4 linked regions of the Astyanax mexicanus genome follow. The protein of the gene in region 2 purifies or fractionates together with the protein of the main gene of each other region. This does not show direct contact. Links are inferred from orthologs where the notes say so. Each region holds a gene or a part of one and is shown on either strand. Other genes may lie near its edges.

Region 1 (7,537 bases), on a different chromosome or scaffold from region 2:
TTTTTATCACTGGTATCAAATAATAATAAATAAAGCTCAGATATACCTGTTGTGAGGAAATCTCTTTCTTTACTAAAAAATAGGGAAATATACAGAGACTTAAGCTGAAATAATTGAACATTTGGCAGAAAACCTAAATGTATATATTTAAGACCATTAGTAAATAATCAGCATTAATGAATAAATTAGATGTGAGCATAGTAATAATGAATAAATTAGTTAATAACCTGTTTGTTGCTTTTACAAAAAAAATAACCTGTTGTAATTTGACTGTAATTAAAAACAAAATTGTTTGGTATAGTTTATTAGGCCTTTTAATATATTTGACTAAATATTAGTGGTTGACAAATATTCTGTTGATTCCCACAAACATATAGCGTTACATCTTATTATTTTGTATCTTATTATTTTTGCAAACCATTTAGTTTCATTGTAGGCACATTTAATCAAACAGTATACAACATAGCTTCAGGAACTGATGTATACATTCCATTAATCTGAAACAGAACCTGCTAACCACTTTGTTTTTCTGCAGGTCCTCCACTGTCATGTCCTCCAGGAATGTAAGCTTCAATGGGGTAGCGAGACACACGATCAGGAAGGGCGTTACATTCTATGCAAATGATTCTGTGGTCAACCCTGTAGCTGCTGGCCCACCTGACCAGCCCAGACCTCTTCTGCTTCTTCTGCCATGGTTGGGCTCCAAGCCACATGCCCTGGCCAAGTACTGCGAGATCTACCTCAAAACCGGATTCGATGTCCTAGCTGTGGAGACAGAGGTGGGACGGTTCCTGTGGCCTCGCTGGGGGCTGGAGTACGGGGGCCAGCTCCTGGAGCTCCTGGAGAGTGAACGTTTCGCACAGCGCCCCCTGCTGGTTCACGCCTTTTCAATCGGAGGATACACTTTTGCCCAGATTCTTATTCATATTGCCAGAGATCCCCAGAGATATCAGGGCTTGACCAGCAGGATCAAAGGACAGATTTATGACAGTCTGGTTGTGGGTTCATTGGAGCGGATGGCTATTGGTAAGAAAAAAAAAATCTATTGCACCTTTGTCTTCTGTGCTCTGTAAACTGTGCTACAATCTTAGATCCCCTCATACATTTTCTTTTTCCTTTTCTCTGCTCATTGTCCACTTTTTCTGTGAGTGCTCCTTAGCTAGGGAAGCTATAGTTTGCTGTATGTTGTGGACATTAACAGTCTAGGATGCCCCTAGACAAATTTGGAAGAAGAAATGGCTACATAAAGTGTCTGTAAAGTACAGCAATCTCCAGCCATCTGGTGATTGATACATATTTCAATATATGAGTTACAATATTTTGCAATGCTCTAAACAAGATGATATATAGCTCTGAAAAAACGTAAGAGACCACTTCAGTTTCTGAATCAGTTTATCTGATTTTCTATTTATAGGTATATGTTTGAATAAAATAAACATTGTTTGTTTTATAAAAATATATTGTAATTTAGAGCACTTATTGGTAGAAAATGAGAAATGGCTGAGATGCGGCGCTTTCAGACCTCAAATAATGCAAAAAAAACAAGTTCATATTCATTACGTTTAAAATCAATATTTGGTGGAATAACCCTGATTTTTACTCTCAGTTTGTATGCATCTTGGCATGTTCTTCTTCACCAGTCTTACACACTGCTTTTGGATAACTTTATGCCACTCATGGTGCAAAAATACAAGCAGGTCAGCTTGGTTTGATGGCTTGTGATCACTTATCTTTCTCTTGATTATATTCCAGAGGTTTTCAGTTTGGTAAAATCAAAGAAACTCATACATTTTAAGTCTCTTATTTTTTTTCCAGAGCTGTATATCTTTTTTGTTTTTATCAAAGTGTAAACAGTGATGACAGCTCTGATTGAGCAGCCTGAATTTAACGCATCTTTAATTTAATCTCCGTGTATTCCTCTGTCTTCCTTGCATTCCAGGTGTGAGTCGGAACTTGTTTCCCCGCTGGGGGCCTGTGGTAAAGCATGTCAGCCTGCTTTATTTCTACATGTTCAAACGCCAGACTGTGGACTACTTCAACATGGGCATTGACGCATTCAAGAAAACTCCTGTTCCAGCTCCTGCACTTTTCTTCTACTGTAACAATGATGCACTGTGTGATCCTGAAGCTTTGGAGGAAATGTTGGAACAGTGGGATAAACTGGGTATTTCTGTTACTAGCAAAAAGTGGGTAGAGTCGATCCATGCAGGGCATCTGCGTGCCCATCCTCAGGAGTACATGTCCATCCTGAAAAACTTCCTCTACTCTCTCAACATGGTGCCACTCAAGGCTAAACTGTAAAACATACATACAGTTACCTTATATTCAAGGTGTTTGATGTTTAGAATTTTGTTGAAAACACAATAAGAATTAATTTTAATATTATTGATAAAGTTGTGTGCCTTGACACTTGTTGCCTAACATAATTAATCAATATGAGGCATATGAAACTGTTTGTCAGTTAAAGAGAGGTTGATTATAAAATATAAAAAACCCTGGTGTAACAGTATGCTCAACCGTTATAATACCTCTGTATAGTGTTGTTCCATGTACTGTATTCCACTGATGTAAAAAGTACATTTAGACTTTTATAGTATGTTTTTTATGGTTTATATGTTTTGACATTACTAATGCACATGTATAAGTCTCCTTTTAGGGTTAAATGGTCACTTACAATAAAGAAGAAACACTAAGACATTAATGTACTTAAAAAAAGCTAAAATAATGTGGTACATTTCTTTTTAATTGAATTTATAAGAACTGTATGAAGACCAATTAGTGGTTAAATGTATTGTAAATTAAAATAAATATTTACCATCTCATTAAATGAATTACATAAACTGTGGTGAGCAACAATATAAGTGTACATTAATAATTTACTGCATATAAATATATGCAATGCCTCCAAACAGGAAAAATGAATAATCAAGATTGGCATTTTTTTATTATTATATTAATTGGATGCCATTATGAAATTCAGTTTTCATAATGATGACGGATTTGTGTGGGTGTAAGTGTGTTTGTTAAGAGAGAGAAGTTCACTGTATGCAATATGATCTTAATCCGTCCTCTTGTAGATTATAAACTGGAATAGCCTGTTCCTAATATTAGGTGTCTGCAGAAACAGGGTTGCCAGGACCAGGAAAAATATTCAACCAAAAGAGAGGTGAAAATCAGTACAACCGTGTCTAATAATTAGTGTAAAATGTGAATTTGTTAATTAATTAATTATTTTCCATAATTGAAAGCACATTAAAGGCTCGGGATATTAAATACTTACACTGCAGTTCTAGAAATAGAACTACTCTAGAGTTTGTATTTTGAATGGCAGAAGCAGAAATGGAGGGAATGGCTAATTAATCAATTAATAGAAAGATTAATTGCCAAATTAGTCCACCTAACCACATAAATGATCATTAGTTATAGCGTAAGTTTTCACAATTTCACAAAACTGTTGATTCATTATGACCCCAGTTATCTTATTTTAAATTAGTCACTTAATTACTTGTTCTTTTTAACCCTGTTAACTTTACAGATTACTTTACTCAATATACTTTAGACAATTTGGATTCATGACTGGGTGCCTTCCTGCCTCAGAATCTAAACTTCCAGCATTCTAATGACTCTTAATATATGTACATTTCAGAGTGAAATAGACAATATTTACCAAGTTTTAAAGGAAAGATGCAGCAGATCCATCCCTGATTGTGGAAACTCTACACTAGACCTCAAGCAGCTTGGACTGTGTGTCTCTCCACTCTTCCTCCAGACTCTGGGTCCTTGATTTCCAAATGAAATGTAAAATTTACTGATGATCAGTGATGGTTTGGAGAGACATGTCATCTGCTGATGTTGGTCCACTGTGTCATATTAAGTCCAAAGTCTGTGCCATATTTTCCTGAAAAATCTTACAGCACTTCATGCTTCCCTCTGCTGACAACTTTTATGGTGATGCGGATTTCATTGTTTTTAGCAGGACTTGGCACATTGCCCACTCTGCCAAAAGTATCACTTGGTCTTATATAATATTCTAAGTTTAGGAGACGCTGATTTTTGAGTTATCATTGGCTGTAAGCCAATTGCCAGTGGTCAGCAATTAAGTTTGGCTGTGGGCCAGATATTTTCCAAGCCATTATGTGGCGGGCCACAAAAAAAATTGAAAATGAAGTGTAATGGGATGGAGTGCTACAGACCAGTTGCTCTCCAGCCCAGAGGGTTGTTGAACCTAATTGCAGAACAGTTGAATCCAAAGCAGGTAAACCCAAGAAGAAAAAATAAATAAATAAACGCAGAAGCATTTGATATATTTTTTATTATCATTCATTATAATTGAAACAACCTCACATAACAACCTCAAAATAAATCAACGCTTAAAATACGTTGCGTAGTACATCTATATAATAGATAAGGTTCACATTTTGAGCTGAAATAAAGTATTTTTTCAATTATATTTTCTTTTTTGAGATGTATTAGTATGAGCTCTGTAGACCTCCAGGCGTGTGGGGGCGCTGTTCCTCAGCAGCTCCACATTAAGATGTGGAGGTATCCGGTGTGGTTGGAGAGAAGCATGTCAGCCCTGTAAGAAAACGTGTGTTTACAGGTTTCAGGGCTGGAGAACTGAGCGGAGCTGCTTATTATAATAATAAGTGTAGTACAGCGAGGCGCTGGCCGGGTCTGGCCGCTTCAGCGGGCTTAACTGCGGGGAGCGGAGGAGTATATTATACAGAGTTTAGAGCTGCTGCTGCTGCTCTATGTGCTTTAGTAGCTCTATAGAGTAAATCTGATCAGAATGGCTTCACTCACTTTATTCGTGTCTAATTTACCCGCTTCAGCCAGCAGTGCTGGTCTGGAGGAGCTGTTCTCTGAGGTCGGGCCGGTGAAGCGCTGCTTCGTGGTTAAAGATAAAGGTAAGTTTATGAGCTGACGAGGAAAAGAGTCCTGATTTTCTAATGTGTTGTTTAGAGTATTGTGGTGATCTCAGTGAAATAGGGGCCCTCATCAAATATAACATTTATATTCTAGTGGATTCTGTGTTAATATAAAGAGACCCTGAGGTGACATCATGTAAAAATATAGGGAAAAAATAATAATACGTGGCTACGACATATTAACGAGTGGGAACGAAATAAAAGTCGTTGGAACAAAATCCAGGTTGTGGGAACGAGATCCTAATGTTTGGCTACGAGTTATTGGGGCGTGGGAACCAGATCCTAATGTATGTCGACTATTTATTAAGGCGTGAGATCGAGATCCTTATGCATGTCCACGATTTATTAGGCCATTAGATTGAGATCCTAATATGTGGCCATGAGTTATTAAAGCATGGGAACCAGCTTCTAATGCGTATCCACGATTTATTAAGGCGTGAGATCGAGATCCTAATGCATGTCCACGATTTATTAAGCCATTAGATCGAGATCCTAATATGTGGCCATGAATTATTAAAGCATGGGAACCAGCTTCCAAGTTGTGGGAACGAGATCCTAATGTTTGGCTATGAGTTATTGGGGCGTGGGCACCAGATCCTAATGTAAGTCGACTATTTATTAAGGCGTGAGATCGAGATCCTTATGCGTGTCCACGATTTATTAAGCCATTAGATCGAGATCCTGATATGTGGCCATGAATTATTAAAGCATGGGAACCAGCTTCCAAGTTGTGGGAACGAGATCCTAATGTTTGGCTATGAGTTATTGGGGCGTGGGCACCAGATCCTAATGTAAGTCGACTATTTATTAAGGCGTGAGATCGAGATCCTTATGCGTGTCCACGATTTATTAAGCCATTAGATCGAGATCCTGATATGTGGCCATGAACTATTAAAGCATGGGAACCAGCTCCTAATGTGTATCCACGATTTATTAAGGTCTGGGAATAAGATCCTCATGTGTGGCCACAACTTATTAAAGTGTGCGAATGATATCATTAAGTCGTGGTGGAAATAAGTTACTAAAGAGCCCCTAAACCATAAATTTTTCATTAACAGCTGTAATGTGTTTTTTTTTAAAGTACTGAAACATACCAGTCCTGCTTAAAAAAATTATAAACTTTTCTTAACCCTTAAAAAACACTTATTTTGGTAATTTAAAATAAGATAATTAAGGACTGGCCATAAAAGAAGTCCTGCACACTGTTTTCATTTGGATTTATTGGTTTAGCTGTTGTGCAATCATGAAAAAGATTACACTGGTCAACCAGCATGACCATGATGACCAAGTTTCTTGGCTGGTATGACCATGTGAAGATATGAAGATGCAGTAAAAGTATCTTTAGTGTACCAAAATGAGACTAACAAACACACACACAGCTGTCCCCTGTTCCCTGATAGAATGTGGTTTATTTAATTTGTGTTTAACCTGCTCTATTTGTGTTTAACCTGTTCAGGATCAGAGAAATGTCGTGGATTCGGCTATGTTACATACTCCATGGCAGAGGACGCCCAACGAGCTCAGAATGAAATGAAACAGTATGACGGACGCAAAATAACCGTCGTTCCGGCAAAGAAAAAGATTCTTAAGCAAAAACAAGGAAGCAAGAAAGGTATGCATTTTTGTGTATGAAAGTGTATTCTATTTTAGTTTCAGTGTTTATCTAAAGGCTGTTTTCTTATCTTTATTGTTTCTTTTAAAATATTTTTACAGCCCCACAAGAAACAGAAGGTTCCAAAGAGGCAGCAGAAACTGAACACTCTGAAGAGACATCAGAAACCAAATGTTCTGAAGAGGCATCAGAAAAAAAAAGTCCTCAGAAGTCTAAAGGGACCAGAAACAATTCGAAGAAAGCCAGGCTTATCATCAGAAATCTTAGTTTTAAAGTGAGTAATATTATATCAAGTATATAACAATTTATAACAATGTATTGTTAATGTCCAGACAGTCTTCTTTCATATGCTAGCCCTGCATTCACACTGGCAGGAGCTTACACTGTGTGTGGATTTGTACCGGTGTGGTCGCTTAGCACGGAGGCTAATCAAGCAAGCTACCTATTGAGCCATCAGCTACTTTTATTCAGGCTTCATTTTCCTCCAAATTGTCAACACATTGTTGATTACTTTTTGTTTACAGTCAACTCTGGTCTTTTTAATTGTTGTTACCTTCACATAAATACAGGAAAATACCAGCATTTATTTTTTAAGGGATAGACCCCTCTAGTATAAATATAATAAAATCATAGTTTACACATTGTTGCACTGTTTGATAGTGTTTTCAGTAAATTACAGATATTTTTCGTTAATGTATTTAGTAAGCAATTATTAATATCCTTTGAGAAGTGCGGAATATATTAGTTTTACAAACACATTTTTGAATACCGTATTTTATGGACAGGATTATAAGGCGTGGTAAAAAAAAAAATAAGATAAGATATAAGATATATAAAAAATATATATATAAGCCACTTAGGTGACTTAAGCAGCTTGTACCAAATAAAAAAATATCATGTTTGTCCTTCATTAAAATAGTTATTCATTAATTGGAATTGAGACAAAATGCTATATATGTTTTTCCCAGCACTAGTCCGGTAGGAATAGTTCAGTGGA
Region 2 (7,617 bases):
ACAAATGACATAACGAGTAAGTCATTCCTTACAGCATATGTGGGCAGAAAAATGTAAGGTCAATCAGGGTACAGCACTCACAGAAAGATGCTGGACAACCAATTCCTAAGTGTTGGAAATGATGCAGTAAAATTCTTTTCACCTAAAATGAGTTGATTATTTTTATTACAAAAATGATAACAGAACATTACAACCACAATAAACCACTTTATTTTATTAAGGAAAATATTATCCTCAAGTGGAGACAAAGAAAGAACTTCCACTTTGACTAGACCACTATTTTAGCAAAGCTATGTAGTTAACTCCAGCTGATGAACACTACTGCACCCCAGAAAAAAAGATCTGAAAGTTACTTAGAAGTTAACTTTCAATATCTAACCCTGGGTGCACCTTAGTTAGCTATAACGCTATTTTAATAACCTTAAAAACGTGCAAACGCTCAGAACTGAAGGAATACAACAAACACAAACTTTGAATAGTTAATAACTTTCGCTCCAAGCCGGCCACTCCACGCTCATCACGTAGCTCCAGGCTGGATCACCAGCTAGATAGCTGCTAGCAGGTCACAGATGTAGCTAGGTTGTGTGTATCCAGTTGAACATTTTTTTTATTTAAACTTCTGCCAAAGCACAGGCTGGCTTTTTCACAGCACAGAGCATTCAAAACCAGAGTTATTCACCAGCTGCAGGGAACAGGCAGAGGACTTAAAGCCAGTTAGCTAAAGATAGAAAGGTAGTTAGCCAACTAGCAGGCTAGCCAGACCTTCTCTCCAGAACTTGAAGCTGAAAACCCCCCTTCCCCCCCCCCCCCCCCCACTATCCATGGGTTTCACACCACATTTATACATGGCTTTGAACGATTAAAAAGAACAACCCAAATTAATAGAAGCACATTTTCTGCTATAAGCAGAATGGCGCTCTGGTTAGCCAGCTAGCTATACAAGCAAGCTAACTAACCTAGCTATAGCAATAGCTCAATAGCTGGCTACGTTAGCCACCAGCAAGCTCGTTAGCTTAGCATTATCTAGCCACGGAGCTAACCCAAGTCAAAACCAAATGCTTCCCGGTGTAGTGAGGTGGTTTATGCAGCCTTCAACTCCACATTGGAAGCTCGTTTTTGGTGTAGATTAAACAATGTGTTATGATATAATATTTAATATTGTTATTTGACGTCAATGAAGCACTCGAATGCTTGATATTTCTTGAACCTTATCTTATCTAATACAGTTATGTTTTAATTTGATATTCTTTAAACTAGGTAGATCATCATCTGATGGTCCTTGACTGACTTCTTGTAGCTAAAAACACACTGAACTGCTTTTATATATTGTTATTTAAGATACCTTATAATTCATATTTTATATATAACGTTTTAATACTATTCCACTACTAACGTTACACTTTTATTTTATTTTTTTATTTTTCGGCTTTACGTTTTTAAACCGTTAAACTATGATTAACACATACCTGTTTTAATATGCAGAGCAAAGTGGATAATGAATAATCATGTTTTTTTTTTTATAAAACATTATTAATGCGTGAAGATTACTTGTTAGGTTTTCTGAAATATATGAAGAAAACAAACGTGTTGATAGTGTAAATTAAAGAGATTCATCTTCGGTCAACCACAGCCACCTCTCCTTCACTCTCAACCCCTAAAGAACTGCTTGGCCTGGGCAGACTATGCAGTTCAAGTGGTTTTGTTTGAAAACAACAAGGAAAGTAACATTTTTTAAGGAAAAGTTTGTTTTTTTTTGCCTCATGTTCCTAGAAACCTATTTACAAACACTGCAAACAAAACAAGCTAATAAAAACAATCATGTTATGGGCTTTAAAGTTTAAAGTGCAGCAATAGTTTTTTGCTCAGCGTTACAGGGGATACATCTAAAATGACTATTTCTACTCTTACTAAAGTAATTGTAGATATCTACAAGTACATTTTTATTAGTTAAGCAGAAGTATGTGGTTAATTATGGTTAAGCAAAAATAAGATTCAGATTAAGTGTAACGTTAAATCAAATGTAGGTTAGTTAGCTAGCTTTAGCTAGCTACTTAACGCTTCGTAACATATGAATAATAAAATTACATTAGGTCTAGTCAGAATAATGATATTACCTAGAGATGTAAACCTGATAATATTACTAAACAATGTCTTTTAATAGCGGAATTATGGAGTGAGTGTTTCAGCTAGCATGGTTGGCATTAGAGATAAATTAGATTAAGCAAACTTGGCTTATGAAACAAAGTCAGTATATATACGTTTATGACATGGGTTTGGTTTTGAAACGGCCAGGCTTGCCTTTTAACGATATTGTGCATTTAAATTGAAGTAAAGACATTTCTAACCAGCCAACACAGCTAGTATTAGATAGGTATGCTAAGCTAACTGGCTAGCTAGCTAGCTACCCAGAGGTAGCACAGGCTAATATAGCCGCTCTCCTCTCTCCGTTAGCATGAACGATTAGCTATTAGCTTAGCTGGGCTAGCTAGTTAGCTTTTCGCTTCGCCTCTCTCAGCTCGCAGTGTCCCTCGCCAGCTTCTTACACTCATATTTACCAACAATAAGCAACAATTGACCAACAGAAACAAACAGACCGGGCTGTTTTCACCTTCGAGCGAAGCTACGTCAGTCCGCCGCGCGCCTAGCGGCTCGCTTTTCCCGGACTTCTGCTCCCGCTGTTGTTTTCAGGGTCTCCTCTCAGCCCAGGAGCGACTCGCGGTACCGGTGGTTCTCGCGCCGACTTCGCGGTCCCCCGCGTTCACTCTCTGGGACTCGTAGCTAGGCAACGCTCGCTAGCCGAAGCGGCGCGTGCTGGCTAATATAAAAAAAAAACCCAACGCCTCTTCTGAGCGTTTAGGACGCCGACCGCGAACGTTCCCGGTTCAGGCTGCTCCGCGCTCGAGCGGCTCTTCCCGAGGAGTGTAGTTAGTTTTTATTGGGAGTTTCTTTGATCTCCGCCGCGTGCAGTGCTGCTAGAATCCCGCAGGCTCCGCGCTCGCGACTCTCACACAAACACACACATACACGAACCAGCGCGAGAGCGAGACCCACACTGAAGCAATGAACGAGTCGTGTGTACGAATCGGCCCATTTGAACCGGCTGGTGCGGTTCTAAATAAAAGAACCGATTCGAGAGTAAAAGTTGACTAAATAGTTAACCCTTAGCTTAGAGAATATTTTTGTATGTTTCATAGGTTACAATCCATAAATTACCCTAAGCTAGCTAAGTGGCTGTGTGGCAATGCTTTTGTGCTTGTTGTTTTTTTTGCAGTTGTTTACACTCACTGCTCAAATCTGAAAATATATAAAATATATATGAAATATAAGTATACAATATATTTTTACATTTGTTTGTTTGTATCTTTGATTTTGATTCGTAGTCTTTTGCTCATTTGTTATGTTGTGTGCCATCTGAATGAAGGGAACGAAAACGATTCGATAGAATCGATTCACCGAACCCAACCCCGACAATAGAATCGGTTCGTTAAACTGAATCAAACTGAAACATCACTCGACAAGCTCCAGAGCTTCAGGCTCACAGTGATGATGTCGGTCAGATCCCGACCACGCCCCCCTCCCCCCAACCTGCAGTCGCTGGGTTGTGATGTACGATGCACGTGGACCCACATTTAAGGGAACAAACTAAACTCAGAAAGAAAGATAGAGTGATAATTGTCTTAAACATTTTGATGCAAATGATAATACTTGTTTGCCAAACAGTAAATATGTAAAGCAGAATCTTTGTGTGTGTGTTTTTTTTTTTTTCATTTTTTTCTAAATCATAAATTATAAATTATAAATGATGGATGATTATGTTCCACATCCATGTACATTTTTTAAAATGTAAATTCTACTATTTCTTGTAACATAAAAACTCATTTAAGTCAACTAGTCATAGTGTTTGTGTGAGTATGTGTGTTTGTTTGCAGTGGCTGATCATAGTGTGCACACATGCTTTAGCCCATTTAGCAAAAGATTGTTAAATCAAACTTAATTTTTCAATTTCATTAGAAACTGATTTATTTTTGTTCACATTTTGTGAACATTAAAGATGTTTGTATTCTACCATTATTACTTATATTTGTTTCTGCATTGGAACAGTAAAAGGGACTGCATCATCATTATTATTATAAAGAAGACACCCACAAATCCCCTATCCTGTTATATGAACATTGATTCAATGTCTGAATTGTAATATTTACTGAAACTGGCGAGTCCATTATAAATAAAGGTTGTATAGGTGTTGTTGTTTTTTTTCAATATCAACATTAAAAGGTGTAATACAACAATAATTTCTTCAATGTTCTTTGCTACCTGGGATTAGATTTAAGGGTGTAAATGCTGTAAAACAATGTGGAAAAGAGGTTATTTTTTAAGCACTGTACCGCTCCCCTGGCTCTCTCACTTGCTCTGCTGTTTGGCGTCTCGTGTTAATTCCCATGTTCAGTATCTTAATCTAGCAGAAACAGGCTGAAGCACCAAAGAATGTGTTTCTGAGAAGCGTAGAATTGACACTGGCGTCCTGCCAAGCCAGGCTGAAGAGGAGGCCTCTGGCCTGCAGGAAAAAGAGGGTTTCAGCATTCAGAGACAGGCCAGCAGAAAAAAAATATATATATACTGTAAAATAATTCCTTCTACCCATCTTCCATCTCATTCTCTCTTCAGCAGTGCAAAGTATTTACAGTAGGCCTGTCACAATGAATGTTTTTGTTCTAATGATAAATTGTCCTAAAGATAATTGCCATAAACAATACTATTGTCATTGTAAGACAGTTTAATGCAAAAAGGTTTAAAAGCACAGGACTTTGGATAATTAAGAATATTCATAATAATCTTAGGTACCTTTTAACATACCTTCTATACACACAGGAGATGTTTCTTTACCCCTCTAATCTAAACAGGTTGGTTATCTAATGTTGCCTTCCTTTTACCTTAGCAATTGTGTACAGTATTAGATCACCTTTGGTTTTGATTACAGGCACTTTGACAGCCCAAAATTACATAAATTTTTGAGTACACACAATATTTCAAAAGGACAATGCTTATTTACATAATGCTGCAGTAGACACAGATACTGTGACATGGCCACCCAAATCGTCAGATCCGTCCCCGAGTGAAAATGTGTAACAATTGTGGAAAAAAAAATTGAGACCTTTTGGAGAAAAAAAAATCTAGGCATTCTATACACACAAAATAATATACACACTTGACAGCCCAATGGTGCATTAATAAGCTTCTGTAACAGGTGTCCAACCTTTCTGAACACACACTCCTATGTACTTATTCCAACAGGACAATCCTCATCCACATACTGCTAAAGAGCTTCCCTTAAAGATACAAGAGCCATGGGCATAGTTCTGCCGATCCCTGACACCCTTAGGAGCCTCTATGGAAAACTCTATTACATGCTGAGACATTTGACATGTTGCATAACACATGCATTATAGACTACTTCTGTATGTGTAGTTGAATAAATATTGCCCATTTAATTTCCTTCTGAATAGCATTACAATCCCACACTTTTTTTCTAATGCAACTATTTTTGAAACTATTTCATTAGCAGTGAATCTACATTAAGATTCCTAATGAAGACCATAAAAAATGTTAAATAAAAGCTAAAATAAAATTCCATAGTAGTATAGTCTCATATACACACACCACACATACTGTAAACTCATATCAGACATCAGCGAGTGAATGCCAGACAGAGCAGAAAAGTCTTGGAGAGGACAACTACAACAAATGAGTTCCATCTGGTTCTGTTTTTCAGTGCTATCGCTACACAAAGAACTACAAAAAAAAAAAAAAAAAAAAAAACAGAACAGAACATTTCCCTGCAGCCGGACCTGTTCACCCTCCACAAACTTCACCTCTCTCTCTCTCTTTCTTCGGCTCACACTGACGCTCGATCGAGGTTCAAGTTCCTTCCTGGAAGACAACCTGCTTTTCTAGTCCGATCTTTTACCAGATGCTTGGAGGGAGGGGAGCAGAGGAAGCCTGTGATGTCATGGAATAGCAAGACCCTAAAAAAAGGAGGAATGTGAGGAATTTAAACTCCTCATACAGACAATTATAAATACATTTCCTAACACAGTCTCTCATGGAATTTATGTACACTGATGAGCCAAAACATTATGACCAAGCCAGTTGATGCTGGAGGGCCAATTGCACAGGTCTAAAAGATAAAAAAAAAAAACCTGCAGTCTTCAAGTTTAGCTCTAACCCTTGTTAATTATAATTTCCTCCACCCCTCACCTCACTTCTTTCTCAGTGACAACAAAAAATGCTGCTTCCCTCCTATGTTCCTCCTGTTTTTACCATTTCACTAACAATAGGTTAAATATATGAATTTTGAAGCACCAATTTTTGGCTAGTAGAATGTTTTCTCAATGTTACAGTTAAAGTTCTTTGGATATTCAATCTGTTAAGTTTTTTAATATCTTTTGAACATTGTCATTTAACGTTTTAAAACATGGTAATGTCACCATTTATGTTTATCATTTTGTGAATGTTACTTTTGATGTTACCGTTCCGTTAATATTTGTCTAGCTGGGAACGTAATGTAAAAAATGGTCTAATAATGTTGTGATGCAAACCATAATTATGTCACATTTTCAGAATGTTATACACACAAAAGCCTATACACACAATACTGTACTGTATTTTATTTAGTGTGGGCCATAAAATAAACCATTGAAAAATTGTGCCCATTTATTTCTTTCACAATGACGCCATCTGCTGGTTACAGCTTTACTGTCACTGTAAGTGAACAACCCTCTAGCTTCAATGTTTCCACTTCTGCACCACTTCACACACTTTACAATTATCTTACTCGTTCCCCACTGTTACCCATCACTATAAATGACGAAGTTCTCCTGGAAAAGACTCAACAGGACAGTGTGAATCCACCCAAAGGTCACAAAGATTGCAAGCAACTTCACAGCTGGAACAAATGACCAAATTACTGATCTATCCAGGTCCTTAATATTAATTTCTATTACGTTTTATACTCTTGGCTTTCGGGTTATGTTAGAAAGGAGTAGGAGGTGAGTGCCAGAAGAGCAGCAGGTGAGCAGCAGGAGGGTGCCATGTGAGCAACAAATGAGTACCAGAAGAGATATCACCAAATGAGATAAGCAATAGTTAAGCAGTAGGTGAGGGCCAGAAGAGCAGTAGATGAGCAGCAAGTGAGTGGTGGAAGAGTGGCAGATGAGTGCCAGAAGAGTGGCAGGTGAGCAACAGGTGAGTGCCAAAAAAGCGGCAAGTGAGCAACAGGTGAGTGTAAGCAGAGCAGCAGAAGAGTGGCAGGTGAGCAAAAGATGAGTGCCAGAAGAGCAGTAGATGAGCAGCAGGTGAGTGCCAGAAGAATGGCAGATGAGTGCCAGAAAAGTGGCAGGTGAGCAACTGGTGAGTGCCAGGAGAGCAGCAGAAGAGTGGCAGGTAAGTGCCAGGAGAGCGGCAGAAGAGTGGCAGGTAAGTGCCAGGAGAGCGGCAGAAGAGTGGCAGGTGAGCAGCAGGTGAGCAATAGGCTCAGCATACTGTGCTCTCCTATCTACAGATCATGGTATTCTCTACCTGTTTACTTTCCTCAACCATTCCCAACATGACAGCCAGGTT
Region 3 (7,384 bases), on a different chromosome or scaffold from region 2:
GCTCCTCCTCAATCCAGCACCTCCAGTGGATGTGTTAAATTACATTATTATCAGCAGCAGCTCACCTGAGTTACCTGAGTTAACAAACCTGCTACTTACAAGATAAGAACTAAAATTAATATTAATTAAAAAAATAATAATATTAATAAAAAGTGCAGTTATCGCAAAAAACATCAATAACATTAAAATGATGAAACTGGCACTCATCAGGACCGCAGCAGAAAAGGAAGAGCAAGAGTTTCCACTGTTGCAGAGGATAAGTTCACCAGAGTTACCAGCCTCCCCTTGTGAAAAGAATTATACTTAAACTATGCTAAAATAGGTCTGTACTTAACCCTTGTGTGATGTTCATATATTTGCAAAATTAAGCAATTTTACATTAAAATGCTTTACACATGCTCGCTTCACCTAAATTGCAAGCAATATAAACAGCTTACATGGTTAATATTTGCCCTTCACCTTTCTTATGTTACATTTCTTTCAAAAAAGTGCTACTCTTTTTTTTATTAGTTTTTTAATAAAATGTAAAAGAAAATGAATTAAACTCAAGATATGAGTAGAAACTTTGTTTAGTTTCAAATTTACAAATGAAGCAATGTTTATTAGCCCTTGGCCAAACAGACTGTATGTAATGTAAATGTGTATGTTATATATAATGATATTTAATACAATTTAAGTATATTTGTGTGAAAAAGTTAATTAAAGTATACATTTAACATCACATTTGAAAAACAAAAGCAACATATCTCATTGCAAGAATTAGCTGATAAAGTTATTTTAATTACACACAACTAAAGCGAACTTTTTTTTTAAGCCTAGTTTTAAGACATAAAAGTTTAATCAGCACAGTTTTCATTTGTATGAGCAACAAAAAATATATGTTTTGCTAACAAATTTCTCTGAAGTATAGTTTTATTGCAGAAATAAAGGCTCCTATGGCACATTTAGTAAAAGTAGTATTATTATAAGAAGCAGTTTTCTAAAATAATACTAAGGTTTTTTTTTTTTTTTTGTATTAAGTACATCACCAGTACGAAATTAGCACAGCCAAATAAAGTATACTGAAATATACTTTATATATATATATATATACTTTAATTATCTGCATATAGTTCAAGTACACTATGATTATATTTAAATATACAGCTTTTTCACAAGGGTCCTAGATAAGGTCAAAGCTTATTTTAGTTACTACATGATTCTTTATGTGTTCCTTCATAGTCTGCATCACTTCACTATTCAGTTACTATGTAGGACTGAAATTTAAGTAAAATTCCAGGTCTCAGGAGGATATTAGTGTTTTACTGAGTGATTAACATCAATGAATGTTAATTTAAGGTTGAATGTTGAAATTATACGTCAGGATAATGTCTAATACTGTTTGTAACGTGCCTGAAGGATACATTTGAAACATTTTAAGTGCAGTCACCGCAAAGACCGTCCAAAAACGTTATGATGGAACTGGCACTCATCAGGACCGCCCCAGGAAAGGAAGAGTAAGAGTTCCCTCTGTTGCAGAGGATAAGTTATTATAGACTGGGGCAGGTCTGGTAGGTGTCAGGCCTCTAGTTATCCTGATCACTGTTTCAGCTCTTCAGTTTATAGAGAGTCTGAAGAGACGAAGAGAATAAAAGAACTGAAAGTATATAAAAGTAAAGTTTCTCTTGGATTCTTCACGCTCTACAGTTATACACCCTCTCTCCCGGCTCAGGGTTCAGGAAGACGGCCTGGCTCGCTCTTTACAAAACGATTTCTGAAAGCGGAGGGAAGGGGGATTAGCATCACAATCATGGGAACAGCATGGAGCACAGCGGAGGCAGAAAAACCATTTATTTCTTTATTTTTAAAGAGCGGCGGCTTTGAAGTGCAGAGCTCTGTTTATTTTGGGTGAATGAGAGCAAAGACCAGCCTGCATGCAGCACCAATTCACATAAAACTCTATAAAACTCAATAAAAATCAGAATAAAACTCTGATTTTCTGCTTTAACACAAGCTTTGTTCTGCAAATGTAAGACCATGTGACCCACCATCACTTATACATACAAATATACATACACGGTTTATGTTTTTAAAAGTTTTTTACGTTTTTTTTTTCATTCATTAAGGCTTTTCAAATAAAATAAACCTTAATAAGGCACTTTTTCACATATTGTAAATAGTTTGATTTCTACTAAAATTAAATTCCAGTCCTTCCAACAAAAATATACAAAAAATAAACAATATATCAACCATTTTATTCATTAAGTAAAATCAGTTATTTTCTTAACTGTTATAATTTATATTTCTTCATTTATGAAGACTTTTAAAATAAAACAAATTAAGGCAATTTTTTTCACATATTGTAAAGAGGTTGATTTCTATTAAAATTCAGTCTTATCAACAAAAATATCCAGAAAAATAGACAATATATCAGCTATTTCCCTTTGTTGAGTTTTTATTGTTAAAACATATATCTTTTTTAAATAAAATAAAGCACTAACTATGTTCTTTAAAATTATGTATATATATTTTTTTTTATTTAAAAATCTGTTTTTATTTATTTGTTTGTTTTTTTGCTTTAGATTTTTTGTAACATTTGAAGCACAAACTGCACCAGAAAATCAACATACTTTAATTAAAAGTAGGTTATTATATCATTAGAGTTAAAGCCACAAAATTATATTTTTCTCCCTTGATAATTTAGGGTTTTTAGAAGTATACAGGTATATGAATATTTACCCTTTTTTTATTTAAATATTTGATTTTTGGTAACATTTGAAGCACAAACTGCACCAGAAAATCACCACACTTTCATTATATCAGTGTAAAATACTATTTTTCTGTTATTCTGTTATTATTTAATGTTATTCTAGAGATTTTTTTAAGAGAGTTGAAGCAACAGGTAACAGGATAACAAAATACACTCCTGTTACATGGCTGGGTTTTGTTTAATCGCTATTTTAGTTTAAAATAAGTAAAGTAAAGTAAGTAAAATAGAATATTTAGATAATTAAACTGGATAAGTTTAATTTTAGCTGCAGTTATAAGAAATTATAAACAACAGCCTGTGGAGTCTTTAAACGCTCCAGTTTAGCCCCGCCCCCTTCTAACTCAGCGGTCACGTGAGAGTCAAAATCCATGAACTGAATCATTCGTTTGAACCGATTCACGAGTGTAAGGGAATGTTGATGTGTTTTATATATATATATATATATATATATAGAAAGACAAAAAAAGAAACTTATGACCCTTAACTCTCACAAAAATAAATAATGCATAAATTATTTAAATAATCAGCATGATTTAAAAAAAGGTGTTTTTAATAAAAGTATCCATAAAAAAACTAAAAAAAAACGGAACAATGAACATTGGAAAAAGTAAAAATCATTAAAAACAAAAAACAGATCAGGAGTCAGGAGGGACTTTTATATATATATTGTTAAGAAAAAATAAAAATAATGTATAAAATAATATTTAATAGTATTAAAAAAGTTCCCTTAGTTTAATAAAATGAGATCAACTGATTTATTAAAATTTAATTGAATCTAAAATGTTCTCCGTTGATTTAATAAATAACTTCCTCAATTCAATACATTATCTCCTTACTTTTACGGTATATAAAGCATTTATAAGTCAATTTAATAGTCCATTACCTTTATTTAACAGCTATTTGATTTTAGCCAACAATTTAATTTTAAACGTTTCATTTGTATTTGTGTGTTTAACCTTTTATATTTTATATATTCTTTTTTACACATTGTTTTTCATTTTAATCTTTAAGGTTTTTTATTTGAGATATATTTTATTTTATTGTTTTGTTATTTATAATATGCTTTAATATGCTTAAAATTGTATGAAAGTAATATTCCATGATGAAAAACGAACAATTTAATTTTTATTCTCTCTCTCTCTCTGAATCTACATCTCTGAGAAGTACATACAAAAAGCTTTTATTACTACTAAGTAGATAAAAAAGAGAATCCTATGTATAACAGAGTGTTACCAATAAACGCACATCACTGTAGTAAATCTGAGTATAAAATAATTTTACCTGATTTTTTTATCTGATTACTGAACATTATATCTCAAAAAACAGTGAAACTAATAGAACACGAATATTCCCCTAGAAGAGCAGTTACTGCAAATAAAAGTAAAAATACTTTTTCATCCCTCTATCCAATCGCTTATTTTTAATTGTATGGTGATAAAATGAAAAATTTTAATTTATTAGGCAGAAAGTTTTAAGTGGCAGCTGGAATAATATATTTTATTTGTTTTGGACGTTTGGTAGATTTGTAAATCCAAGCCGAATCGATTCTTTGAACCGGATCTTTTTGTGAAGAGTCGACTCCTGAAGTGACTCGGAGTTCCTGAAGTCCTGCCCAGAAAGTTGGGAGTAAAGTTTGGGAGAGCAGTGATTTAGTCTCACACTGAACCGAGTCCTGATGTCCGGAGCCGAGAGGAAGAGAGACTCCGGGCTTTTTACCACTTTCAGCCTGAATATTTACTATTTTAACGCTTTAATACAGTTTAATTCGCTGTTTTTATACTTTTAAAACTTTTTTAAACTGGATTTTAACGCAGTAACTGCTGGATAGAGAGATATGCGCGTGCCCGCGTCGCTCGGCGCGTCCTCGCGAGTCCGCAGCAGCAGCAGCAGCGAGTCCGAGTCTGCGGTTCTGAGTTCGGTTCTGTTTCAGTGTTTTTCTGGCTTTATCTCAGCAGAACTCGGGTAAACCCGGGCGGACCGGATCCGGAGGACCTTTATCTCGGTGTTTCCGCGCGTTTCTGGAGTTTACGGGCTGAATTTCCCCGAGTTTTTACACTTTTAGTAAACTTTTCCAGGCCTGCTCCCCCTCCCCTCCACTCCTCCACTCCCGCTGCTGGAGCTTTTTACAGCTGGTCCTAATCTTCTGGCAGTTATGGATCCGGGCCAGCACAACCCTCCCGCCGGGCACCAGATCGTGCACGTCCGCGGGGACTCGGAGACCGACCTGGAGGCGCTGTTTAACGCCGTGATGAACCCGAAGAACGCCGCCGTGCCCCCGTCCGTCCCCATGCGCATGAGGAAACTCCCAGACTCCTTCTTCAAACCTCCAGAGCCCAAATCCCACTCCAGACAGGTAAAAACACACTAAAACTAACTAGAAAACACTAAAAACTGCTTAAAAACACACTTATACACTGCTTAAACTGTTAAAATCGCACTCCAGACAGGTAAAGACACACTTAAACTAACTAGAAAACACTAAAAACTGCTTAAAAACACACTTACACACTGCTTAAACTGCTAAAATCCCACTTCAGACAGCTAAAACACACTACAACTAACTTTAAAACTGCCTAAACTGTTAAAATCCCACTCCAGACAGCTAAAAACATACTAAAACTAACCATAAAACTGCTTAAACTGTTCAAATCCCACTCCCGACAGGTAAAAACACACTAAAACTAACTATAAAACACTTAAAACCGTTTAAAAACACACGTATACACTGCTTAAACTGTTACAAAATTCCACTCAAGACAGGTAAAACACACTAAAACTAACTTTAAAACTGCTTAAACTGTTACAATCCCACTCCAGACAGGTAAAACACACTAAAACTAACTTTAAAACTGCTTAAACTGTTAAAATCCCAAGTGAAATAAAACAATTAAAACTGTTTAAAAACATACTTAAACACTTCTTAAACTGTTACAATCCTACTTCAGACAGGTTAAAACAGCCTGAAACTAACTATAAAACGCTTAAAACAGCTTAAAGCACACTTGTACACGGTTTAAAACTCTGCTAAACTGTTGGAAAATAACTATAAAACAGCCTAAAAACACTGTTTAAAATAGTTTACCACAGTTTCAACTGTTAAAATCCTACTCCAGACGGGTAAAAACTGCCTGAAACTAACTATAAAACACTTAAAACCACTTAGAAACACACTTTTACACTGCTTAAACTGCTAAAATCCCACTCCAGACTGGTAAAAACAATCTAATACTAAGTACAAAACACTTAAAAGAGATTAAAAACACTTTAAAATACTTTACCACAGTTTAGACTGTTAAGTCCACTCCAGGCAGGTAAAAACAGCATAAAACTAACTATAAACAGCTTAAAAACACTGTTTAAAATGTTTCACCACAGTTTAAACTGTTACAAACCCACTCCAGACTCCAATATAAACAGCCTAAAACTAAATATAAACTCATAAAACAGCTTAAAAACACAATTATACACTGTTTAAACTGTTAAAATCCTACTCCAGATAGATAAAAACATGCTTGAAGCATTATAAACACTTTATTTTAAGTTTGGAGTTTACAGCTACAGACAGTCTTTCTTTTTCTTATATAAGCTAAATGTGTTTTATACACACTCGGACTAAACCCATGCATATATTAATTGAGAGAGTGATATAATTTGGTTGTTTTAGTGTTTTTAAATGAGAACTGAATGAAGGAGGGAGGTGTAGAATAGCAGTATTAGATTTAGTGTTGTGTTGAGGAGTTTGGGAGTGTTTTCTGCGCATGCTCACCCCTCCTCCTCCTACTGGGCTGAGATTTATCCAGTTCAGCCTCCTCCTCCTCCTCCTCCTCCTCTTCTCAGCAGATCAGATCACTGCAGGAAACCCTGCGCCTCCATATCTCCACTCACTTCCTCTACAGATACACTAACAGAGCTCCAGTTCAGACTTACAGCAGAAAAACAGCTGATCTGATCTCGTAAGTCATATATATAAATTCAGCTCTGGAATAAAATGAAGAGATCACTTCAGTTTCTGAATCAGTTTCTCTGATTTTGCTATTTATAGGTTTATATTTGAGTAAAATGAACATTGTTGTTTTATTCTATAAACTACAGACAACATTTCTCCCAAATTCCAAATAAAAATATTCTCATTTAGAGCATTTATTTACAGAAAATGAGAAATGTCTGAAATAATAATAAAAAGATGCAGAGCTTTCAGACCTCAAATAATGCAAAGAAAACAAGTTCATATTCATAAAGTTTTAAGAGTTCAGAAATTAATATTTGGTGGAATAACCCTGGTTGGTTTTTAATCACAGTTTTTTTCATGCATCTTGGCATCATGTTCTCTCTCCTCCACCAGTCTTACACACTGCTTTTGGATAACTTTATGCTGCTTTACTCCTGGTGTAAAAATTCAAGCAGTTCAGTTTGGTGGTTTGATGGCTTGTGATCATCCATCTTCCTCTTGATTATATTCCAAAGAAACTCCTAATTTTTAAGTGTCCTCTTATTTATTTATTTATTTTGTCCCCGAGCTGTATATACTTGGGCTGTGTATTAACAAGAGCTTGGCGATACAATAAAAATCACAATATAGGGACTATGATTTAATATATTACAGCATATTGTGATACTGTAAGCGATTGCAAGTGT
Region 4 (7,711 bases), on a different chromosome or scaffold from region 2:
GTATGGCTTAATACATATTCATACTGCTGGCAGGAATATTATATTAATTAATAGGCATTTCATAATGTTTTATCACAGTCATGGCGTTCTCAATTTGTAGTATGTAATCTTGTAATTAATAATGTCCATCTCTTTTTTTTAGGGGCTTCCTGGAAGTAAAGGAGAGAGAGGAGAGAAGGTGAGTTAAAGCTGTTGTGCATGGCACCATTGTATATTAAAAAATAAACATTTGATTGTGTTTTGTGAGATTGTTTTATTGTACTTTGTTTTACAGGGAGAGCCACAGTCTCTTGCCATCATTTACCAGCTCGTCACACAGGCCTGTGAGAAGCTAGTGCACAGTATGTGATGACCTCACACTGTCTTTTCTTCACATTTTTTGTGTCTTTATGTCAGAGGTTACAAAGTTAATATGATCCATATAGCATTTATAGTGATGCTTAGATCAGAACTCTTACAGTTCATGCTAGTTCTTACAGTGTTCGTATGTTATGTCACTGTGCTTTAGATGAAGTGCTAAAGATAGACGCCTTCCTAAATGAGATCAGTCGGAACCCCGTGCCCATCCAGGAGCCAGTCGGGCCTCCAGGTGAGCCTGGAATCCCAGGAGGGAAAGGACCCCCTGGGCCCAGAGGCCCACCGGGACGGCAGGGAGACCGAGGAGAATCAGGAAAACCAGGATACCCTGGCGAGCAGGGTGAGACATTATATAACTTTATAAAGATGATTATTCAACATTAAAATAAGTGATAAATCAAAATGTGCAGAATTTGTCTCTTTACACAACACATTAGAGATGAGGCTGCAAAGATAATGCATGTAATGTTAGTAAACTAGTTTTTATAGACACTATTTGACCACTAGTTTAATAGTATATGTACAACGTGCTTAAATTGGGCTGGACAATAATGCAGAATCAAAATATATCCCTATAAAAGATGTTTCAGTAATGATGATTTGATTTTAATACACATTTTTTGTTAGCTGGCAGCTACATGCTAGTGTTTCCGAGCCTAACTGAGAGTAGAGAAAACTATGAATATAATACACATATACACTATTTAACATGTGCAGTAACATTTACCGTATTTTTTGGACTATAAGGTGCACCTAAAATCCTTTACTTTCCCCAAAGATCATCAGTGCACCTTATACTCTGGTGCGCCTTATGTATGAATTTTACTGCTCAGGTTGTAAGGAGCTGGAAAGCCACTTCGCTTAGTTTTTCAGCAACGTTAGCATTAGCTCCTTACCGTGCTAGCTCATTGGCCATTCAGAGGTGAGTATTATTGGCCTGTAGCCTGCTGGCATCCCTAACTAGCACTGCCAGAGCAGCATTAGCATTAGCCGCTAACCACAGCACTAGCTCCTTCGTTGTTCAGAGGTGAGTATATTGAACTGAAGCCTGGAAGTTTACTGTGTTAAAAAAGCGAGTTGTGCGTATATTAGTAATATCGCCCTGCCTTACCGGATCACTCAGGGTTCCTTATTCTAGCTCTGTCCGGTGGCATTAGCGGCTAACCGCTAGTGGTTAGCGAGTAATCCAGCTGGGAAAAACACTTAGCATCGCATATTTCTATCATCAATACTTTTTACAGTCTATGTTAGAAACACTTTTCTTCCCCAGATTCCTAATTCTGCTTTAAATCCTCAGGAAGAAGAGGTGCATCTGGAGCTAAAGGAGCTCCAGGGATTAACGTTCAAGGTCCACAAGGATCAAAGGGTTTTGCAGGTATCTAATGTGAATATAGATCTATAAATGTTTTGGTTTTATGATCTATTTAAAGACATTAGTTAATACAGTTCGGGTATTGACTCCTTCATACTTTGTTTGCCCCTTAACAACCACTGTTTGATTCTGTTTGTGTGTAATACAAAAGGACCCCCTGGAGAAGCAAAGGTAGGGATGCAAGGGCCTAGAGGTGACGATGGTAATCAAGGTGCTCCTGGTCTTCCTGGGCTGGTGGGTCAGCCAGGTGAGATGGGGCCCCCTGGAGCGTGTGACAGTAGTGGCTGCCATCGAGGAGACCCTCTAGCAGGTACATAAAAAGGCTTCCTATACATCATCACATGTCCTACTGTGAATAATGCGTTTTCTCATTACATCTTTAATGACTTTACAGAGGATCCATACTTCGGATACCAGCCTTGATTGGAATAACATTGAGAGAACTGTTTTGCCGATCAGTTAAACACTGAGTCCTGAATCCTGAGTGCTTGCTCTCTCCCAGAAGAAGTAAAAGGGGCACTACTGGGTGGAATAGAGGAAAAATGGGCTGGCATGCAAAGGACATGTTTTAAAATCCCGCTCACTGTGTGACACAGCTGATGTAAACGACATCAGACTTCCAGCTTATCTTCATCTTTTAATTCTCCAGGAACTCTGGTTGCCCTTCATTATGTGTCAGTAATTTTTTTCACTTCTTTTATTTTTGTTTTATGTCTAATTATACTGTCCAGTTCCATGAATCACTAGAGTCTTAAGCAGGACTCATTTTGTGATGTATTAATTTCGATATTACAATAAAGAAGGGTCCCTCGTCATTTCATTTACATTTAAAGGGGAATATAGCCATTTTTGTTGTGAAAAGAGCATCTGTTTACTAAATAATGACAATTTCGCACTGAGAATGTTTTTAAAGCAATTTTATCAATGCTGTGGTTTATTGTGTTGTATTTATATATATATTTTTTAATATGTTGAAGGCATACTACCACTTCTTTGGTTTCCCTGATTTACTGCCTCCAAAACTGACATTTACTGTATAAAAATGTGATGAAAGAAAATACACTGTGATCATATTGTAATGTCTTGCTGTCCTTCATAAGCATAATGCCTGTTCTGTTTGAATCTGCACATTGAATTCTTGTGTTACAATTAACACTTTATTACATTTACTGTATTTAAATGTCTAAAACTGAATTACTGACTGTTGTGTTTTTTATATGTCTAAGCTTTTATAAACCACATTTGTTTGTGTGTGCATGTGTTTGTGTGTGAGATAAAGAGAGAGGGAGAGCACAGGTAATTAGTTATGTACCTATAAAAAAAAACAAATTATATTTAAAAGAAATTAATAAAATGTTTTTTTTTTCATATCACATTTGCCTGTGTCAACACATTTTCCTGATATAAATATGTAACAGAAATGTATATAGACCTGTTCTGTTCTGTATATGAAAGTGAATACATGAGAATAGAGTAAATGTTATCAGAGATATTAAAATAGACGCTGTTAAGAACTATTTAAAATAATTAATTTATTTTAGACCAGAGCTGCCCGAGCGTGGCCTGATACCCAACCCAAACTCAGGTCGACATATCCCACCGCTTTCCTTGGATCCTGTCGGGTGGGGCTAAAGAAAACTGTCTGTGACGTAGGCCTACTTTTATTAATGTTATATATTATTTTATATAAAGCTATGGCTTTATAATCACAATATAGCAAAGTTACAAATCAAACTCTGATCGTAAAAAAAGGTAGACAGGTGTGAGGTCCCCAAATTTGTCGGCAATAGACTTCATTTGGAGCTCCATTCTTAACATATAGTTTTTTTTACAATAGGCCTACTGTTTTTCCGTGTTGCACTGTTAATTAACATCACTCTGAATAGATTTCACTCATTAAGACAACTCAGAATCATAGGTAAAAAGATTTAGCACTGTACATACAAAAAAAATATGCAGTCAAGCTTTACCAATAATTGGCAATGAGTCTTTCACATATCTGTAAAGAAATTGTGGCTCGCTCTTCTTTCCAGAATTGTTTTCCTTCAGCCACTGAAGGAATATTTACCCAAGTCCTGAGGATATTCAAGATGTTTTTTTTGGCAAGTGTGAGATCGGCCCCTGTGTTCTTTTTGGTCAGCAGTGTTTTTTGCCTTGGAACTCCCATGGAGACCATTTTTGTCCAGTCTTTTTCCTATTATTGAATCATTAACACTGACCTTAACTAAGGCCAGTGAGACCTGCAGTTCTTTAAATGTTGTTCTGTGTTCTTTTGTGACCTCCTGGATGAGTCGTCCATGTCCTTTTGGAGTAATTTCAGTTGGCCGGACGGCCACTCCTAGGAGGGTTCGACATTGGACCATGTTTTATCCATTAGTGAACAATAGCTCTCACTGTGGTCTGTATTAGATTTTTTTCAGATTGAGATCTTTTATCCAGCTTCATTTTGTCAGACAGTAATGAGGCCTGGGTGTGGTTAGTGAAACTGAACTCAGCTTTCCACAATGTGTGAATAATCACAGTTAATTTATGGGGGGGGGGGGGGGGGGCAAACAATTTTTCACAAAGAGCTGGATTGTTTTGGATAACTTTTCCTTAATAAATAAAATTAGAATTTAGAAAATACTTTTTTATATTTACTGAGGTTATATTTGTTGGATATTAAAGTTAGTTTGATAATGTTAAAAATGCAGTATGACAAAAGAAAGAGAATCTGTAAATCTGTAAAAACTCCACTGTAGAATAGTACTATTTCTCTTGCATCATTCATAAACTTCCCTATTCTGTTGAGTGGGTTTAGATGGCCGGTTCAAAAAGAACAGTAATATTAATTTCCTATAACTTCCAAAATCACATTAAGCAGATAACTACACAGGCTTGTCTGATTCAGAAATTGTTTAGTAGTCTGTTCTCAGCTACAGCTGTCCCGGAACTCAGCCCTGGACTGAGTGTAGGAACTAAAAGCGGGAGCGCGGGTTTCACCGGGCAGCTGTCCGCGCGCACATCCGCCGTGTAGTTCTGCCCAACATGGCAGGATCTAAGAGTAAGAAGAAGAACAGAGAGGAGGCTGATAAATACTCCGTCCTGTTACCGACCTACAACGAGCGGGAGAACCTGCCCCTGATCGTTTGGCTGCTGGTGAAGTACTTTGGGGAAAGGTGAGTGTTAATAGGAGGTGGAAACAGAGCTAATGCTAATGCTAGCCGGCTCAGAGCTGCCAGATAAAGATGAGCTGTCACTGAAGTGCTGTTTACACTCCTCAGCTAAAACACAGCTAATAAAACTCTATATCCATTATTATTTCGACTTCTGCATACTTCACACTTTGAGATTTAACATAAAAACATAGTCATTGAGAGTATACAATTATTATTAGATGAATTGTGGAGAAACCTGAGATAAATTTACAATGGGGTGTTGTGAGAATAAGGTCTTTAAATACATATTAGTTAGTATTTGCATCTCAAATAATTTGAATATTATTGGAAAGTTGTTGATGATTATGGCTTACAACCAATGAAAACCCAAAAATCCGAGTCTCAAAATCAGAAAAATTAGATCATATAAGACCTATTGGTACTTTTGGCAGTGTGGGCAATGTGCCAAGTTCTGCTGGAAAATGAAATCTGCATCTCCATTAAAGTTGTCAGCAGAGGAAAGCATGAAACCATTTTCTGGGAAAACACTGCACTGACTTTGGACTTGATATAACACAGTGGACCAACACCAGCAGATGACATGGCTGTCTAAACCATCACTGATCATCAGTACATTTTGTATTTCATTTGTAAGTCAAGGGACCAATGTCTGAAACAAGAGTGGAGAGACACACAGTCCAAGCTTCTTGAGGTCTAGTTTAAAGTTTCAGTTAATCAGTGACGGTTTGGAGAGCCTATATGTGCTCACATTTAAACACACAAACTTTAAACACAATTGTGACATTGTCCAGCTGTAGTGTAGGATTATAATGTATGATTGTAGTTATAAATATAATGTAATCTAATCTAGTCCATTCCCCTAGTTTCCTATTTATAGCCTAAAACTAAAGCCCTTCACTCTCATTTTAATTTTGTACAGTGGATACAACTACGAGATTATAGTCATCGATGATGGAAGCCCTGATGGGACACTCCAGATCGCAGAGCAGTTACAGAAAATTTACGGAGAAGATAAGATTGTAAGTTGAAGTTTATATCTGGGTTGTGTGGTGGGCTTATGTCATTAATACTTGTAGCAGAAATTAACAATACAATACCCTTTCTTTTGATTTACTGTCACTGGTCATTTTTATAAGTCAGTCTGTGACATATATAGTTATATGCATCTGTTCAAATATTGTACACTATTGCACATATACATGGTTTTTAAATAATCCTCACTGCTGTAGAGTATGAGCTTTTTAAAAATGAAAATGTAATATTACTTATACTGTCCTGAGAATCTAATCAAAGTGTGTGTTTCTTTCTTGAAGGTCCTGAGACCAAGAGAAAAGAAATTGGGTTTAGGTGAGCCAAAATACATTTTTCTTTTTCTTATTGGTGTGACATGCATTTAGATTAATTTGTTAAATTCTGTTAAATTTCTGTAGCAAGTGAAAAGTGGGTTTGAGGTCTGGAGAGAAAACTAAATTGTGTTTTTTCTTTCAATTATGTTTTTCAGGAACAGCATACATCCATGGCATTAAGCATGCCACTGGGAACTTCATTATTATTATGGATGCAGATCTTTCTCATCATGTAACTAAATAATTGCTGCTATTTTCTTATTGTTCTTTATTATCTGATATCTTTTTTAATTGTTTTAGGCAGTGCATAAGTTAACTATTTCTTCTTTACCTGCAGCCCAAGTTTATCCCAGAATTTATCAAGTAAGTAAAAACTACTGTAACGTTATGCATGTTTAAATACAGAGATCTATTACTGAACTAGTTTGACCTGTATTCCAATTGTTTTTTTGTGTGTTTCTGTATTTCTGTGCTGACCACTGGAATTTTTTTGTTGTTGTGTAGGAAACAGAAAGAAGGAGGATATGATCTAGTGTCTGGAACACGGTACAGAGGAGATGGCGGTGTGTATGGATGGGACCTGCGGCGAAAGCTCATTAGGTAACTAATTAATAACCTGTGTCCTACACCACTCTGTTTTGTGCCCTCCCTTAAATATTTGTTAAACCATGTTGCCTATTAACCATATTGAAGCTGAGTAGCCAAAACATGTTTGAAATGTTTCAAAAATGATTAATTATTTTAAAAAGCTTTAATGACAGACCCTTATTTAGACACTGAAGCTAAAACTAGAACTTCACTATCTTCAATCAGAAAACTTGGTACTGTTATGCTTTAAAACACTTTAAAATAACTATTGGGTGCATTTAAACTTGGGCTTGGCTTGGCCTCTTCCAGATATAATCCTGATACTCACTTTTAAGCAAAGATTAGATGGGTTACCGTCTCTGTTAGGAACATTAGTTTAGTTCTTTCTGTTATAAGCTAATAATAAAAACATGGCTTTGAATTATTTGCTTCCTCATAGGTTAAAACTGAGTAAGACTAGCCTGAGTAAGACTAGCCTTTTAAAAGTTTTAAAAATATCATTATATGGTCTCATTTTCTTCCATGCTCTTACATCTCTCTAGCCGTGGGGCAAATTTCGTCACACAGGTGCTGTTGAGGCCTGGAGCATCAGATCTGACAGGAAGTTTTAGGTATGTGGTACAACATGGTATTATCATAATTACTGATCTCTGTGTAAACAGCAGGATGTACTGTTGCTTACAACGATTGTTTTATTTTCTCAGGCTTTATAAGAAGGATGTGCTGGAGCGTCTGGTAGAGCGCTGTGTGTCTAAGGGCTATGTGTTCCAGATGGAGATGATTGTTCGTGCTAGACAACTAGGCTACTCCATTGGGGAGGTCAGTCCACCTGTACTTTACATTACATGGTTATTTTATATCTTGCTTTCATATTGAACTGAACTATACTG

Evidence for each region.
Region 1: the proteins of fbxw7 (region 2) and rbm28 purify together in Homo sapiens (affinity purification with mass spectrometry, with the first as the bait; 3 studies listed by BioGRID). This does not show direct contact. The link is inferred for Astyanax mexicanus from reciprocal best matches to the Homo sapiens genes FBXW7 and RBM28.
Region 3: the proteins of fbxw7 (region 2) and yap1 purify together in Homo sapiens (affinity purification with western blotting; 4 studies listed by BioGRID). This does not show direct contact. The link is inferred for Astyanax mexicanus from reciprocal best matches to the Homo sapiens genes FBXW7 and YAP1.
Region 4: the proteins of fbxw7 (region 2) and dpm1 purify together in Homo sapiens (affinity purification with mass spectrometry, with the first as the bait; 3 studies listed by BioGRID). This does not show direct contact. The link is inferred for Astyanax mexicanus from reciprocal best matches to the Homo sapiens genes FBXW7 and DPM1.

What each region holds. Positions count from the first base shown.
Region 1 is NC_064416.1:15,735,377-15,742,913, forward strand, and holds the start of rbm28 (RNA-binding protein 28), read left to right. Parts: upstream 1-4,527; 5' UTR 4,528-4,789; coding exon 4,790-4,907; intron 4,908-6,384; coding exon 6,385-6,540; intron 6,541-6,641; coding exon 6,642-6,814; intron 6,815-7,537. Other genes in the region: si:dkey-5i3.5 (transmembrane protein 53), read left to right, coding at 536-1,026, 1,940-2,301. UniProt on the Homo sapiens protein: Nucleolar component of the spliceosomal ribonucleoprotein complexes.
Region 2 is NC_064432.1:20,344,227-20,351,843, reverse strand, and holds the start of fbxw7 (F-box/WD repeat-containing protein 7), read right to left. Parts: upstream 3,021-7,617; 5' UTR 2,609-3,020; exon of another isoform or gene 2,595-2,608; intron 1-2,594. UniProt on the Homo sapiens protein: Substrate recognition component of a SCF (SKP1-CUL1-F-box protein) E3 ubiquitin-protein ligase complex which mediates the ubiquitination and subsequent proteasomal degradation of target proteins.
Region 3 is NC_064416.1:3,554,713-3,562,096, reverse strand, and holds the start of yap1 (transcriptional coactivator YAP1), read left to right. Parts: upstream 1-4,377; 5' UTR 4,378-4,901; coding exon 4,902-5,102; intron 5,103-7,384. UniProt on the Homo sapiens protein: Transcriptional regulator with dual roles as a coactivator and corepressor. Critical downstream regulatory target in the Hippo signaling pathway, crucial for organ size control and tumor suppression by restricting proliferation and promoting apoptosis.
Region 4 is NC_064420.1:35,198,665-35,206,375, forward strand, and holds the start of dpm1 (dolichol-phosphate mannosyltransferase subunit 1), read left to right. Parts: upstream 1-4,708; 5' UTR 4,709-4,756; coding exon 4,757-4,887; intron 4,888-5,806; coding exon 5,807-5,906; intron 5,907-6,200; coding exon 6,201-6,234; intron 6,235-6,388; coding exon 6,389-6,465; intron 6,466-6,570; coding exon 6,571-6,596; intron 6,597-6,737; coding exon 6,738-6,833; intron 6,834-7,363; coding exon 7,364-7,432; intron 7,433-7,525; coding exon 7,526-7,640; intron 7,641-7,711. Other genes in the region: collagen alpha-1(XX) chain, read left to right, coding at 143-178, 275-341, 509-697, 1,655-1,732, 1,881-2,039, 2,124-2,152. UniProt on the Homo sapiens protein: Transfers mannose from GDP-mannose to dolichol monophosphate to form dolichol phosphate mannose (Dol-P-Man) which is the mannosyl donor in pathways leading to N-glycosylation, glycosyl phosphatidylinositol membrane anchoring, and O-mannosylation of proteins; catalytic subunit of the dolichol-phosphate mannose (DPM) synthase complex.